Linked DNA regions of Anolis sagrei. The protein of the gene in region 1 purifies or fractionates together with the protein of each later gene. This does not show direct contact. Links are inferred from orthologs where the notes say so. Each region holds a gene or a part of one and is shown in the gene's direction. Other genes may lie near its edges.

The links. Proteins that work in one complex are often made in the same cells at the same time.
Region 2: the proteins of BCAP31 (region 1) and CYB5A purify together in Homo sapiens (co-immunoprecipitation; 4 studies listed by BioGRID and IntAct, with this or other methods). This does not show direct contact. The link is inferred for Anolis sagrei from reciprocal best matches to the Homo sapiens genes BCAP31 and CYB5A.

What each region holds. Positions count from the first base shown.
Region 1 is NC_090022.1:177,894,734-177,903,304, reverse strand, and holds the start of BCAP31 (B-cell receptor-associated protein 31), read left to right. Parts: upstream 1-5,433; 5' UTR 5,434-5,528; exon of another isoform or gene 5,529-5,545; intron 5,546-8,571. UniProt on the Homo sapiens protein: Functions as a chaperone protein. Is one of the most abundant endoplasmic reticulum (ER) proteins.
Region 2 is NC_090024.1:72,518,941-72,526,754, reverse strand, and holds the start of CYB5A (cytochrome b5), read left to right. Parts: upstream 1-4,413; 5' UTR 4,414-4,524; coding exon 4,525-4,677; intron 4,678-7,814.

The sequences.
Region 1 (8,571 bases):
TCCACCAATGATGGAATTGAACTAAACTTGGCACACAGAGCTATCATGACCAACAGAAAATACTGGAAGGGTTTGGTGGGCATTGACCTTGAGTTTTGGAGTTGTAGTTTACCTATATCCAGAAACCACAGTGGACTCAAACAATGATGGATCTGGCACAAATTTGGCACAAATACTCAATATGCCCAAATGTGATCAACTGGTGGAGTTTGGGAAAACTAGATCTTGACATTTGGGAGTTGTAGTTCCTGGGATTTATAGTTCAGATTCAATCAAAGAGCATTCTGAACTCCACCAATGATGGAATTGAACCAAACTTAGCACACAGAACTATCATAACCAACAGAAAATACTGTTTCCTGATGGTCTTTGGTGACACCTCTGACACCCCCTTGCGACCCCCCCCCCAGGGGTCCCAACCCCCAGGTTGAGAAACACTGACCTAAGGGAAAGCAAGTGCTCTTGAGATATCTATGCTCAGTTGGATCTAGCAAGCATAGGTAGGTCTTCTGCCACAAGATTCTTAGCTTCCCACAAAAGGAATATTCATTTAGAACACTATCTGACTATTCCACTACCGCTACCCTTAGGAAGAATATATAGTAGAGCTAGGTTTGAAAACTCAGTATTAAGATGCAAACCGGGTGTTACCGTAACATCCCAAGAAGTGAACGATTCTGCTTATGGGGAGAACAAACTGTGGAAGATATTGAACATTTCTTAATTGATTGTCCAGCATATACTGAACTGCGATACAGATAGTTACACCCGATATTATCCAACTGCAGGTCCTCCAACAGAAATGGCATTCCTCTTGCAAGGACAGGAAAGATCCAGCATAATCAGAGTAAGCCTTTTTATTCTGAAAGCTATTAAGAAAAGAGCAGATTTCCTGAAAGAAGAACCAGGAAAATAAGATTCTGACTGTAAATAGAAGGTCAGCTTCTGTCCTTTACTTTTTTGCCTTGTCTTTTACCCATGTTGTATTTTGAAATGGTCATATGACTGGTCAAATAAATAAATAGTTATTATCACTTGAATGTCTATATGTTTAGATACATTTGCATCACTGCTATTAGTGGATACTGGTCTTTCTGGCTTTTTAATGTTGCAATGTGCGTTGTAGACAGTGGCACTATTAAATCAATTTATAGAATAAGTAAACTGCGAATGAAAACCTTTTGTTTTCAGACTAGATTTCTTCATTATTCTAGTAGCCAAGGTGCCTTTCCCCATTTTTTGAGCCCTCTTCTAAGAAGAGTAGAAATCACAGCTGGTCACATGAGCTTGTGCATAAACTTTTGGATTAAAGTGGAGGTAGAAGCAAAAACAGGCATTTATCTTTTTGGGAATCAGATACTCATTTATTTATACACATAATAAAATTGAAAAATGTGTATGTGGCGGAGGTGTCCACTTACACAGACAGCCTCTGGCCTCCACAAACAGGTTATAGTTCACCCACATCGTTATGTATTTTTTCATGAAATTAAAACAACATTTATTGATAGACAAACGGAGCTTCTTTTCTCCTGGTTGCCACAATAAAGTTTCTGTTGAAAAAAGAAATCTTTTTAAAAAAATAAACTTTTATTAAGTTTTTTTCAGGGTATATATAAAAAAAAGTGTGGGGGGACATTTAAGCTTATGCAGTTCTATGTATTGTCGAAGGCTTTAATGGCTGGAATCACTGGGTTGTTGTAGGTTTTTTCGGGCTGTATGGCCATGGTCTAGAGGCATTCTCTCCTGACGTTTCACCTGCATCTATGGCAAGCATCCTCAGAGGTAGTGAGATGATGCAGTTCTGTTCTTTGATCTTTTCGTTTCCCAATATGAGTACTGTTATTTTACTATGCTGTATATAACTCTGTCGTGACTTTAATTATGTATTTTCTAATGGGAGTATTCATAAAAAATGAAATCTATTCTTTCTAATAATTAACTAAATGATATTACCTAACACCCCAAAACAAACAAGGCCTTTTTCAAATAACTCAGGCACCACCGGGTATCCAAGCTAGTAGAATAATAGATTTGGAAGAGACCATGTGAACCATCTAGTCCAACTCTCTGCCATGTGGGAAAAGCACAAAGCACCCTCAATGGGTGGCCACCCAGGCCCCTCCTACACAGCCATATAATCCAGATCATAAAATCACATAATATACATTATCTACTTTGCACTGGATTATATGAGTCTACACTGCCATATAATCCAGTTCAAAACAGATAATCTGAATTGTATATTGCAATGTAGAAGGGGCCCCAGCCTCTGTTTAAAAGCCTTCAAGGAAGGAAGTACTCATTAGAGAATCATTGCAAATCATTTAAAAAAAAACATTCAACACATCCAGACCACAGCCAACATTCTCTTCTCTATAGATGAGAAAAGGACATGTGATTTAGGCCCCTTCTACATTGCCATATAATCCCGATTATCAAAACAGATAATCCACATTATCTGCTTTGAACGGGATTATATGAGTGTATGCTGCCATATAATCCAGTTCAAAGCAGAATCTGGATTTTATATGTAGTGTAGAAGGGCCGTCACAGGGCAATCCTGTCAGGTCTAGTAAAATGTAAGTAGAGCATTGGATCTTGGGAACTCACTCCCAGGTAAATGGGTATGAATTGAACATTTACTCTGCAATTTAGCTCAGACTCTTTAGTTCCAAATTCATTGGGAGAACAAACTGAGATGGCAATTATTTTTAAAATATCACAAAACATTAATATCCACATAAAATATACAGTCAGCCCTCCATATTCATGGATTTTTCATCAACGGATTCAACAATCTATGGCTTGAAAATATTTTTTATAATCCAAGAAGCAAATCTTGATTTTACCATTTTATTCATTTATTTACCAATATTTATTTGCAGTATTTATAGTCCGCCCTTCTCACCCACGGGGACAGGGCGGATTATATGAGGGACACTATTTTATCCATATGAGGGACACTATTTTATCATATTATAAAATAGGGACACTATTTTATCATATGATAAAATAGTGTCCCTCATATGCCATATGAGGGACACTATTTTATCATATTACTTGTATATAATGGAACTTGAGCATCCATGGATTTTGGTATCTACAGGTGAACCAAATCCCATGGGACACCAAGGAGTCTCTCTATTGGTCTATGTATATCCAAGATAAGAGACACTGTCTTTATGGCAATCCTACATGGTAACCAACCCATTGTTATAATGCATCACATTGATTAAAGGAGTCCAATATAACCATAGTGTCACATTGATTGGAAACATGCTCACAGGTTTCTGTTTCACCATGAGTTTAAGTGAACAATTTCATCACACAAGCCTGGAGAACCAGCCAGCAAAGCCGGATTATGGGTTGAGGATTTTGGCAGGTGTAGTCCAAAAGCATCTTGAGGGCCAAAGATGTCACAATCCATTAATTAAAGTGAATTTAACAGACTGTTCTTGTATGGTCAGAACATCAATTTGCTAGGTCAGAACATCCATTGATACTAAAGATCTTTCCAGATATGATGCTGATGGTTCCTGGGTTCTCTAGCAAGTAGAAGTACACATGTTGGGCAAAGTACCACTCAACTCACCAATAACTGCTACCACTTGGGATAGAAGCAGATGATACTAGGCTAGATGGACAGGAAGAAGTCTAGCCTGGTGTAATGATACTGAAATTGGTTGGCAGTATTTGAGTTCTTTATTGTTCTGTATACGAATCAATGATTGTAATGTTTGATCATTGGACTGCAACTCTAAAGACTGGGATCGGATCCTCTGCTTGCCCAAGGAAACCACTTGATGACATTGGGTAAGTCACATACTCTCAGCCCCAGAAAACCCTATTATAGGGTTTCAAGGCACACCATTACAACATACCACTACACCTTTCATGCTACACAATAATAGTACTTTGATACCGTGCATCCAGGACATTCTACTGTCAATCAGCTTCTACCATCAAAAATTCTTCCTAATGTTTACGCAGCATCTCTCTTTCAATTTATTGTTTCTTATCCTAGCATCTGGAGCAACAGAAAACAGGCACACTCCCTCTTCTAAATTATATTCTTTCAAATGTTTGAAAATCGCTATCATGCCACCTCTCAGTCTTCCCTACTCCAAGTAAACAAACGCAGCTCCCTAAGGCATGTGTCACAGTTTTTGACATTTTAACATTTTAGTCACCCTACTCTGTAACAGAAGATTTGCAGAGCACCTGATGAACCAGCCTGGGTACATCATATTATTTGAGAACACAGAAATGCTGGACCACTCTCACAACCACCATGTCAGACTACACAGAGAAGCCATTGAAATACCCAAGCATGTGGGCAACTTCAACAGAAAGGAGGAAACCATGAAAATGAACAAAATCTGGCTACCAGTACTAAAAAAACTCTAAAATTACAACAACACAACAACAGAGAGGAAACAAACAAGGACATCTAATCACCTCTCAACAAAAGTTTGCTCCAGGCACAGTCAGGCCATTATATGCTAATCAAGGTGATCAGTTGAAACATTCACACCTAGCTCCAGCAGACAAGAGTCCTTTGTACCACCCTGGACAAAAGTTTGAGAACCCCTGGCCTAGAAGATCTTATGCTACCAACTGTTTTATCTCATGACCCTTCCAGACAGGCCCTATATACCAGGATCTGATTCCAAGTTTTCTGATTTAGCTGGTTTAGGCAATCTCTCGTTGCCCGAGTAAGACTGTCCTCCAAGGTCAGTGTACTGGCCTTGGGTCCGTAGGTGACTGTGGAGCCCTATTCATGACATGCATGTTCTCCCACAGTGAGGGCATCGGTTTTCAGGTGGAAGGTGATCCTGGTCAGGGTTAGTTTGATGTACCTTCTTCTTGGCACGCTTCTCTCTTTTGCCCTCTACTCGTGCCTCTTCAAATTCTCCAGCACTGCTGGTCACAACTGACCTCACTCAAGGGCCAGGGCTTCCCAGTTCTCAGTATCTATTCCAGAGATTTTAAGGTTGGCTTTGAGCCCATCTTTAAATCTCTTTTCCTGCTCACCAACATTCCCTTTTTCGTTCTTGAGTTCAGAGTTGAGCAACCGCTTTTTTCTGCTTTAAACTGGATTATATGAGTCTGCACTGTCAGATAATCTGGGATTAACAGAAAACCTGGGATCAGATCCTGGGATGTAGGGCCTGTCTAGAAGGGCCCTCAGTTTTTCTCAAAAATGCATATACTGTAGGATATAAAAGTTTGTGTCTAGAGTAAGGGGGGAAGGAACTCCTATGAATGCTCCCTCTTCTCTCCCCTCCCACCCTGTGTTTGAGTGACAGGCACCGCCACCAATCGCGGCACCACTTCCGCCTTCCCTGCAGCTGCCTGTCTGGAGGCTTTTCCCGCCCCAGGCTGCGGAAGGGCTGCTTCCCATTGGGCGGCGGGGAGACTCTTCCAAGGGCACCGCCCACCTTTTGGCTTCCTCTTCCTCCCCTCTAATCTTGCTCCTGTTTCCGGTCGTGGCTGAGGCAGCTGTGCAACTGGGAGGCAGTGTGGCCTGGCAGCCAGTGTGGTATGTAATGGGTGTCGCTGTGCTTCCCTGCGGGCTGAGAAAGGCCTCCTTCCTTGACTAGGAAAGAGGACTGAGATTCCTTAATAATAACCCTATGGAAGGAAGTAGGACCTACCAATTTGCCCACCCCACTTTTGGAGTGCATTCATGTCCCACTTTCTATCCCTCTGTGTTTTGGTTTCTTACTGTGGTGCCTCCCCATTGGAAGCTGCCCTACTTCCTGTGTCATGCTGGTGTGTCCTATTAATCCTTACTGTCTCCTCCATCCAGAGCTTCATGGTGTGCAACTATTCTGGCCCCACATCCCTCCCTGGGTGTGGGGCTGGCCTGCTTCCCTGTGTCGTCTTTTCCTTGCTCTGTTTTCCAACTCTGCAGAGTCCAGGCGCCTTGAAGAAGAAAGAAAACCATGGCCGTTCAATGCAAGGAATTGGAGAACATGGAGAGGGCCAGCAGATCCAGAGGCGGGGCCTTGGGGGAAGAGATGTGAATCAACCTGTTCAGCAGCCTCCGCAATTCCTCTCTGGTTCTCAAAAACCACAGACTCCATTAACTGCCCTGGGGGCCAGTCACACCACACAGCTATAGCAGTATGATTCTATTTTAGCTGCCATGGTTACACCCCATGGAGCTCTGGAGTTTGCAGTTTAATCAGGGGCACTCACTGACACTCTCTGTGGAGCGAAGAGCTAATTTCTATATGCGTTTGAGTGCAGGTATTCAGTGCTTGTTACGTTTGTCTTCATCACCATGTGCTTGATTTATTACACTGATATCTCAGCTTTTATCAGAGGAACTTGAAGAGGAGCGTAAACAGTTCTTCCTTTCTCCACATTTTACCCCCCTCCCCCATTTTTCTCTCTTTGAGAGATAGTTTAGGTACTTCCACACCAGGGGTCCTCAAACTTTTTAACAGAGGGCCAGGTCATAGCCCCTCAAACTGTTGGAGGGATGGATTATAATTTGAAAAATTTGAAAAATATCTTATTTGTAGTGCAAAAAACACTTTAAAACAATACAATAATTAGGTTCTTGTAGGTTTTTTCGGGCTATAGGGCCATGTTCTAGAGGCATTTCTCCTGACGTTTCGCCTGCATCTATGGCAAGCATCCTCAGAGGTAGTGAGGTCTGTTGGAAATAGGAAAATGGGTTTATATATCTGTGGAATGACTGGGGTGGGGCAAAGAGCTCTCTGCTGAAGCTAGGTGTGAATGTTTCAGCTGACCACCTTCATTAGCAATTGAAGTCCACAAGCATGTGGACAATTTCAACAGAAAGGAGGAGACCATGAAAATGAACAAAATCTGGCTACCAGTATTAAAAAACTCTAAAATTACAACAGCAAAACAGCAGAGAGGAAACAACCAGGCACATCTTAACACCTCTCAACAGAACATTTTCCCAGGCTCAGCCAGGCCTTCAAATGCTAATGAAGGTGGTCAGCTGAAACATTCACACCTAGCTTAGGTTGACCCTGAGCGAGGGCTAGGTAAATGACCTTGGAGGGCCATATCCGGCCCCCAGCCCTTAGTTTGAGGACCCCTGTTCCACACAGCCATATCACTCGGGACCCTTCCACACAGCCCTGTATCCCAGAATATTAAGGCAGAAATCTGCTTTGAACTGGGATATCTGAGTCCACACTCAGATAATGTGGCATTTCTTGCCATTTTTTTGTCATGTCAGGAGCAACTTGAGAAACTGCAAGTCACTTCTGGTGTGAGAGAATTGGCTATCTGCAAGGATGTTGCCCAGGGGACGCCTGGATGATTTGATGTTTTTATCATCCTTGTGGGAGGCTTCTCTCATGTCCCCGCATGAAGAGCTGGAGTCGATAGAGGGAGCTCATCTGCCTCTCCCCGGATTCAAACCTGCGACCTGTGGGTCTTCAGTCCTGCCGGCACAGGGGTTTAACCCACTGCATCTCCGGGTGCTCCATTTCTTGCCATGATATTGTGGGATATAGGGCTGTGTGGAAGGGCCCCCCAAAATCAAGGCACATAATCCACAATATCTGCTTTGAACTGAGGTTAGATGGGCCATTTCAAATCAACTAAAAATCTAGTGTGTTTCAAAAATATGTACCTGATTTGAACTTGCTATATATATCTGCAACTATGAACTGCCTTGTAAGGGTGGGGCACACAAACAGCCCCTAGACTCAGTCATTCACAAGATGGCAGGCCTGCAACGTAAGGCCTAATTAGATATTCTCAAGTTACAGCGTTATTTTTTTAGATGTGTTTGTGGCTCAAAATAGTGAAATCTGATAAGTCATTAAACCATTTGTAACTTTTTGTGTCGTTGTAACATGTTGCCATTGTGAAATATATTGCTTTGAAATTGGGTCTGTCGTTTTGAAACACCATGTATTTCGCTTTTGGTCAACCTTGCTAGGATTGATAAGAATTGGAGTTCAACCACATATTCCCAAGCCTTACTCTAACTATTGTGTCACATGGTCTATACATGTTTCCTCATAACTTTTTCAGATTTGATTATTCATGGACTTGATAAAAAATGTGGACCCTAGGAATCTCCAGGCCTTCCAGTGTGACTATGGCCAACTTCCTATCTGGTGGTCCTCAAAATTTCTAAAGAGAGCACCTTTTCCAAAGGTCCTTCAGTGCAATTCTGTGGTCAACTTCCAGTGGAAGCTGGCCATAGAGTCATGCTGGAAGGTCTAGGAATTTCTGTGTGTGGTTTTCCACTTTCACATGGGCTCTATACTCCTCACCCTAGTATATGTGGTGAACTGACTGTAGTTGTGTTCCAGGTGGGATACGCCCACATTGGCTTTAACAACTCTTCCATGAGATTGTTAGTTTAGATTCGCAATGACTTTGTGATGTTTTTTTGTGAAGTTTGTTAGAAAGTAGGGTGTGGAAGTGAATCATAGAAAGATAAACATGCCGCTCTTTTTTTTGCAAATCTTTTGTCAGGCCTCAGAATGCTTTTGTTTTCAGTGAAATATTTGAATAGTGCAACAAGAGGTTGCAGAGCTTTTGCATCATCTCCATTCTCCTCTG
Region 2 (7,814 bases), on another chromosome or scaffold:
AAGTCTAGTCGGGTCCGACTCGGGTGATGCCCATCTCCATTTCTAAGCCAAAGAGTCGGCATTGTCTGTGGACACCTCCTAGGTCATGTGACCAGCATGACTGCAAGGAGCGCCGTTACTTTCCCGCCTATTGATCTACTCACATTTGCATGTTTTCAAACTGGTAAAATTAGGCCCTAGAGACAGAGAAATAAAATTTGAGCATATACATACATAATGAGCAATCATTGAAATGCAACCCAAATTTAGAGACAACATTCATATATGCCCACAATGGCCAAATCTACACTGCTATATAATGGATTTTTGAACTGCATTAGATGGTCAGTGTAGACCAGGCATGGGCAAGCTTTGGCCCTCCAGATGTTGTGGACTTCAGCTTCCTGCTTCTTGGCAGGGGGTTGGACTGGATGACCCATGAGGTCTCTTCCAACTCTTTGATTCTATGATTCCAGTTCCTAACAGCTGGTAGGAATTGTAGGAGTTGAAGTCCAAAACACCTGGAAAACCGAAGTTTGCCCATGCATGGTGTATACTCATATAATGAAGTTCAATGCACTTAAATTACATTATACCAGTGTACACCAGGAGTCCCCAAACTAAGGGCTGTGAGCTGGCTGAGGCCCTTCAAGGTTATTTACGTGCCCCCTGTCCTAAACTTTAGATGTAGACTAAGTCTAAAACTTAATCTTAAAACTTAGAATAAGTCTGAAAAGACTGGAAAGCACACAACAGCAATCCTGACTACCTCATCAGCAAAAGCAGGTCCACACTTCCCGTTGAAATATGGGTAAGTTCATGTTGGTTAAATTTGTTCTTCATTTTCGATATTGTATTGTTCTTTGACCTACAAGAAGCACTGGTTGAATATCAAGCAAAAAGTGGGAACTAGAAACAGTATCATACGACAGCTGACAGGCACAACCTGGGGATCGGCCCTTGTGCTTTTTTACTTTGCTGCTGAGTACTCATGCTCAGTGTGGAATACATCTCATCACGCTAAAACAGTGGATGTGGCTCTTAATGAGACATGCTGCATTATCACAGGATGTCTATGCCCTGCATCACTGGAGAAATTATACTGTTTAGCCAGTACTGCACCACCTTACATCTGCTGGGAAGGAGCAGCCAATAATGAAGGCAGTGACATCTCCGGCCCATCCTCTGTTTGGATATCAGCCAGCACACAAAGGCAATAATCAAGAAATAGTATTCTAAGATCTACAGAAATACTTGCAGGAACACCTCAGCAAGTGAGAGTCCAAAAGTGGCAGGCTAAAACCTGGAACCTTAAGCCATGGCTGATACTGAATGAGAGATTCCCTCCTGGGCACACAGAAGACTGGGCGACTTGGAAGGTGCTGAACAGCCTGTGCTCTGGCACCAACCTTAAGAAATGGGGCCACAAAATGGAGTCCACGACATGTGAGCAAGAAACTACAGACCACCTATTACAATGCAGTCTTAGCCCTGCCACATACACAATGAAGGACCTTCTTATAGCAACACCAGAGGCACTCCAAGTGGCCAGCTACTGGTCAAAGGAAATTTAATATAAAGCAAAGTTTTTAAACTTTGTGGGTTTTTTTAATATAAACACATTACAACTGTATCCCTGGTTTTCTCCTAATACAATAAATGAATAAATAAATAGTTATTTGATGGCTTTTTGCACTACAAATAAGATACATGCAGTGTGCACAGCAATTTATTCATTTTTTTTCAAACTATTGTCCAGCTCCCCAATAGTCTGGAGGACCATGATCTGACCCTCTGCATAAAAAGTTTGAGTACCCCTGATTTACACTGACCATAAATGTAACTTCAAATTGCATTATATGGCAGTGCAGATGGGTAATTTTACACATTTTTTCATGAAACTAAATTTGTGCAATAATAATAATTAATTTTATTTATTACCCACGAGAAAGCAGAAGTGTTACTATCTCAGTCAACCATGTGGACGATTTCGAATTTTGAACTGATTTGGATTTCCAGATCAGTTATGCCATAGTATCCACTTGATTTTGTCTCCAAAAATGTAATTTTTCTAAAATATTCTTATTTCCCTTTCCATAAAACAGTGTCAATTGATTAATAGGTGATACCACAATCTATAATGCTCTCTGGAATTATGCTCCTATTCTGAAAACTGCAAAATAGCTAGTGCTGAAAAGTTATATATACCTATATGTAGAAATTATGGTGTATATATAATATATACATTTTATATACATATGTGTATATGTATATGGCAGTCTCTGAGGATGTAACACGAGCACCTGCTTGTCCAGTTTTGATGGATTCATTTCAATTGGTGAAACCCGAGGATGTGGACAAGATACTTGGAGGAATGAGGCCAACCACATGCATCCTGGACCCCTGCCCATCCTGGCTTCTAAAGGAGGCCAGAAGGGGATTGGCTGAGTGGGTTAAGGTGGTGGTTAATGCTTCCCTTCAGGAAGGCAAGTTTCCAGCGAGCTTAAAACAAGCTATAATAAAACCGCTGTTGAAGAAACCATCACTGGACCCCACTAAATTCGACAACTATCGGCCAGTTTCCAATCTCCCCTTCTTGGGCAAAGTCTTGGAACGTGTGGTGGCCTCACAACTCCAGGTATTCTTGGTAGACACGGATTATCTAGACCCGGCACAGTCTGGCTTTAGGCCGGGACATGGTACCGAGACAGCCTTGGTCGCCTTAGTGGATGATCTGCGCCGGGAGCTCGACAGGGGGAGTGTGTCCCTGTTGGTGCTGCTCGACCTCTCAGCGGCCTTCGATACCGTCGACCACGGTATCCTTCTGGGACGCCTCGCAGGGATGGGTCTTGGAGGTACTGTTTTGCAGTGGCTCCGGTCATTCCTGGAGGGTCGATCTCAGAAGGTGTTGTTGGGGGACACCTGTTCAACCCCACAACCATTGTCTTGTGGGGTTCCTCAGGGCTCAATATTGTCTCCCATGTTGTTTAACATCTACATGAAGCCGCTGGGGGAGATCATCCGGAGTTTCGGGGTACGGTGTCATCTGTACGCGGATGATGTCCAACTCTGTCACTCCTTTCCACCTGCTACTAAGGAGGCTGTCCAGGTCCTGAACCGGTGCCTGGCCGCTGTGACGGTCTGGATGAGGGCGAACAAATTGAAATTGAATCCAGACAAGACAGAGGTACTCCTGGTCAGTCGCAAGGCCAAACAGGGCATAGGGTTACAGCCTGTGTTGGATGGGGCCACACTCCCCCTGAAGATGAAGGTTCGCAGCTTGGGAGTGATCCTGGACTCATCGCTGAGCCTGGAACCCCAGGTTTCGGCGGTGACCAGGGGAGCATTTGCACAGCTAAAGCTTGTGCGCCAGCTGCGCCCATACCTTGGGAAGTCTGACTTGGCCACGGTAGTCCACACTCTGGTTACATCCTGTTTAGACTACTGCAACGCTCTCTACGTGGGGTTGCCTTTGAAGACAACTCGGAAGCTCCAACTAGTCCAACGCTCGGCAGCCATGATTTTAACAGGAGCGGAGCGCAGGGAGCATACAACCCCCCTGTTGCGCCAACTCCACTGGCTACCGATCTGCTACCGGGCTGAATTCAAAGTGCTGGCGCTGGCCTTTAAAGCCCTAAACGGTTCCGGCCCAAGCTACCTATCTGACTGCATCTCTGCCTATGAACCCACCAGGAGTTTGAGATCTTCCGGGGAGACCCTGCTCTCGATCCCGCCTGCTTCTCAAGCTCGGCTGGCGGGGACGAGAGATAGGGCCTTTTCTGTGGTGGCCCCCCGGCTTTGGAACACCCTCCCCATAGAGGTACGATCAGCCCCTTCGCTGATGGTGTTTCGGAAAAGATTGAAGACATGGATGTTTAAACAAGCATTCGGTTAATCCGTTGTAACGAATTGTGATGACTAAGGATTGGTTATACACGGACGATGAATTTTGGATTACGATTCCAGTTATGAGATGCATAGGATTGTTATTGGTGGCCCAATAATTTGTACTGTATATGTGTTTTATGCTTTTAACTGAATATTGTTTTTTAAATGTTGTAAACCGCAATGAGTCGCCGATTTAGGCTGAGATATTAGCGGTATACAAGTGCATTAAATAAATAAATAAATAAATAAATACACACATATATACTCTGGATAATAAGTTTGAAGTAGAAGGAGAGATCTGTTTTACTTTTTGTGTCACCTGGTGAATAACTTCAGTTTCCTAAAACAACGTCGAGATCCTGCAACAATCCTCCCATTTCATCCCAGGAAAGCAAGCCCCTGAGTTTCTTGGAATTCTGCAGGAACACAGGACCCGCCCACAGGCGCCCTGCCAATCCGTTACGAAAGCGTTCCACGAGGCCAATGAAAATCAAGCAAGAGGATCAGGTCCCCGCCTTTCCCTTGCGTAGAGGCGGGCGTGCTCTGGCGTTGCGCATGCGCCGAGGCCTCCCAGGTCAGAGTTCTACGGCTAGGATCCGGAGGTGCTGTAAGAGCCTGCGTTAGAGGAGAGCATCAGCCGGGTGGAAGGCAGAGGCGATGGTGGAGACCAAGAGTGAGACCAAGCCCGGGAAGGAGCCATGGCGGGGTCGCTACCACACGCTGGAAGAGATCCAGAAGCACAACCATAGCCAGAGCACCTGGATCATCCTGCACAACCGCATCTATGACCTCACCAAGTTCCTAGAGGAGGCGAGTATATGAATATAAGGCAAGGGAGGGAAAGCATTGGCTAAAGGTTCAGAAGGAAAGGGTGGAATTTAACCTTGTATCTGCACTGTAGAATTAATGCAGTTTGACACCACTTTAACGTGGAATCATGGGAGATGTAGTTTTACAAGGTCTTTAGTCTCAGCAAACTAACCTAACATTACATTATACTAAGACTAGAGGTGCATCTGTACTGCAGAATTAATGCAGTTTGTCAATACTTTTAGCTCAGTGCCATGGAGGTATGGGGATTGTAGTTTCATAGGCTTTCTCTGCCAAAGAATGCTGGTGCCTCGCCTAACTACAACTCCCGTGATCGTATAGTCTTGGTGTCAAAATGCATTCATTCTCTCATATAGATCCACCTTGACACTTGGAGGATATATTGGTTCAGAGATCAAGAAGCAATTTCCCTTGACAACTTCTCTTCAGTATTGATTCTCAGACTTTATTTGCTTTATTAAAAGGTATGGTGCAGTGAACTTCTTGTACCTTGTTAGGCTTTTTGTAAAACTGAACACTGGCTTCAGTTATGGGTGTGTATATATATGTGTGTGTGTATGTATGTATAAAGGTAAAGGTTTACCCTGACATTAAGACCAGTCGTGTCCAACTCTGGGGTGTGGTGCTCATCTCTATTTCTAAGCTGAAGAGCCGGCATTGTCCGTAGACACCTCCAAGGTCACGTGGCCAGCATGACTGCATGGAGTACTGTTACCTTCCCACCTATTGATCTCACATTTGCATGTTTTCAAACTGCTAGGTTGGCAGAAGCTGGGGCTGACAGCGGAGGCTCACGCCGCTCTCCGGATTTGAACCTGCGACCTTTTGGTCAACAAGCTCAGTAGCTCAGTGGTGTAACCCACTGCACCACTGTGGGCTCCATATATATGCAGCATTTTGAATGTGCAGCTGTGTCTTACGACAGACTCTTAGAATGATCCAATGTGAACTTGTTTGACTTGGAAGAGCAAGATTGCAAAATTTTGTTGCAGAGCAAGCAAACCTTTGGTAATCAGATGATTACTGTTCCGTGCCTACCCAAGCAGCATGATCCCCTTATCAGTTGTTCAAGGATAAAGGGTTCATTACCATTGTCGTTTTTCCTAAGTATATTTAGTGTTCTCAGTGTGAGAAAATAATTAATTATTCTAAGTCAGAGGGCAGGGAATTGCTTTGTTGTTTTGAAACATCTTGTGCAGTCAAGGTGCTATATACAAATACACGATAATTATGATGATGATGAACTGTTCACATTATCATTCTGATTTATTGCATCGTCAGCAAACTAACTGAGGATGTTAACCGCCCTGAGTCCCTTTGGGGGGAGATGGTGGGTTATAAATAAAGTGTTATTATTACTACTACTATTGTTTGATACATAAGATCAGTACACAGCAAACAAGATCACTATGCTGGCTTTTGTACTTGATCACACTTCAGACACTTCTGACGTATCTAGGACTGTGTGATGTATTGGCGAATAATGTGTGCAGTTCGAATAGGGTGGCCTTTTGCAACGGACATAGGGTAATTTTGTCAGTGCTGGTTGTTTTTAAGTGCAGGTCAAGGTCTTTAGGCATTGCATCCAGTGTGCAGATCACCACTGGGTCCACCTTTACTGGCTTGTGCCAGAGTCTTCGCAGTTCGATCTTTAAATCATCATATTGTGCCAGCTTTTCCAGTTGTTTCTCTTCAATCCTGCTGTCGCCTGGGATTACAACATCGACAATCCATACTTTGTTTTTTAACACGATCGTGAGGTCAGGAATATTGTGCTCCAAAACTCTGTCAGTCTGAATTTAGAAGTCCCAGAGTATATGGGTATAACACAAGGGAGGGAAAGCATTGGCTAGTTTGACGTGTTCATTTTCTGTAACTTTTTCTGGCTTGTGATCCCACTAGTTCTTTGTCGCAGGCAAATGGTTTTTGTGGCACAAGTTCCAATGAGGCATCCAAGCAATGGTGTTAGGCCTCTGCTTGTAGTCTATCTGTGCGATCTTCTTGCAGCAGCTGAGGATGTGAACTATTGTTTCATCTGCTTCCTTGCAGAGTCTTCACTTGGGATCTGTCACCGACTTTTCAATTTTGGCTTTGATTACATTTGTTCTAATGGCTTGTTCTTGGGCTGCCAGAATCAGGCCCTCCATCTCCTTTTTCAGAGTCCCATTTGTGAGCCATAACCATGTTTTTCTTTGTCAATTTGGCTCTCAATTTTCCCCAGGAACTGTCCATGGAGAGCCTTCTTTTGCCACTTTTCTCTTCTGCTCTGCATTGTGTTTTTTACAGTATTCACTCTTTGTCTTTTGCACTTTAAGCAATTTACTACTATTGACTTCCCTCAATGTTGGTTCTTGACTATCTTTCACATAATCTGCCAGTGCATGTTTCTCTTCTTCTACTGTTTGTTTCACTTGCAGAAGCCCACTGCCTCCTGATTTTCTGGGCAGGTAAAGTTTGTTGACATCACTATGCGGGTGCAATGAGTAGTGGATTGTCATCAGTTTTCTTGTTTTTCTGTCCAGATCATCCAGCTCTGCTTGTGTCCACTTCACAATTCCAGCAGTGTATCTAAACATGGGGATGGCCCAGGTGGTGATAGCCTTGATTGTATTTCCATCATTTAATTTGCTCTTCAAAACCTTTCTGACTCTTTGGATATGTTCTTTGCTGACCACATTTTTCACATGCCCATGCATATATTATTATTATTCATTTTTCAAGGATAATATATATTGTAGTTAATAATACCTGGAGGGTAGCAGGTTGGAGAAGGGTGGTGATTAAATGGTTGATTCCTTAGGTCTTTGGGTAGGTTCCAAATGAGTTAATGCCAACCAAGCATAGTATCAAAGAACCTTAAAATGCTAATTAAAATGTAAAACTTATATCTAAGCATATAGAAATCTTAAGTCTATTAAGATACAACTTTTTGTGTGTCTTGAGGTCATTATTAATAAAAACATTCCAACTTATGGCAAACCTAAAATGATTCTACTATAATGGTTTCCACAAACGTACACAGTACAACCCCTTCAGTAGTTATTCTTTCTGCCCCCCACCCCAAGCTATGGGTTGTGTTGATGTATGTACAATAGCCTTGGGCTTCAGGATTTTCC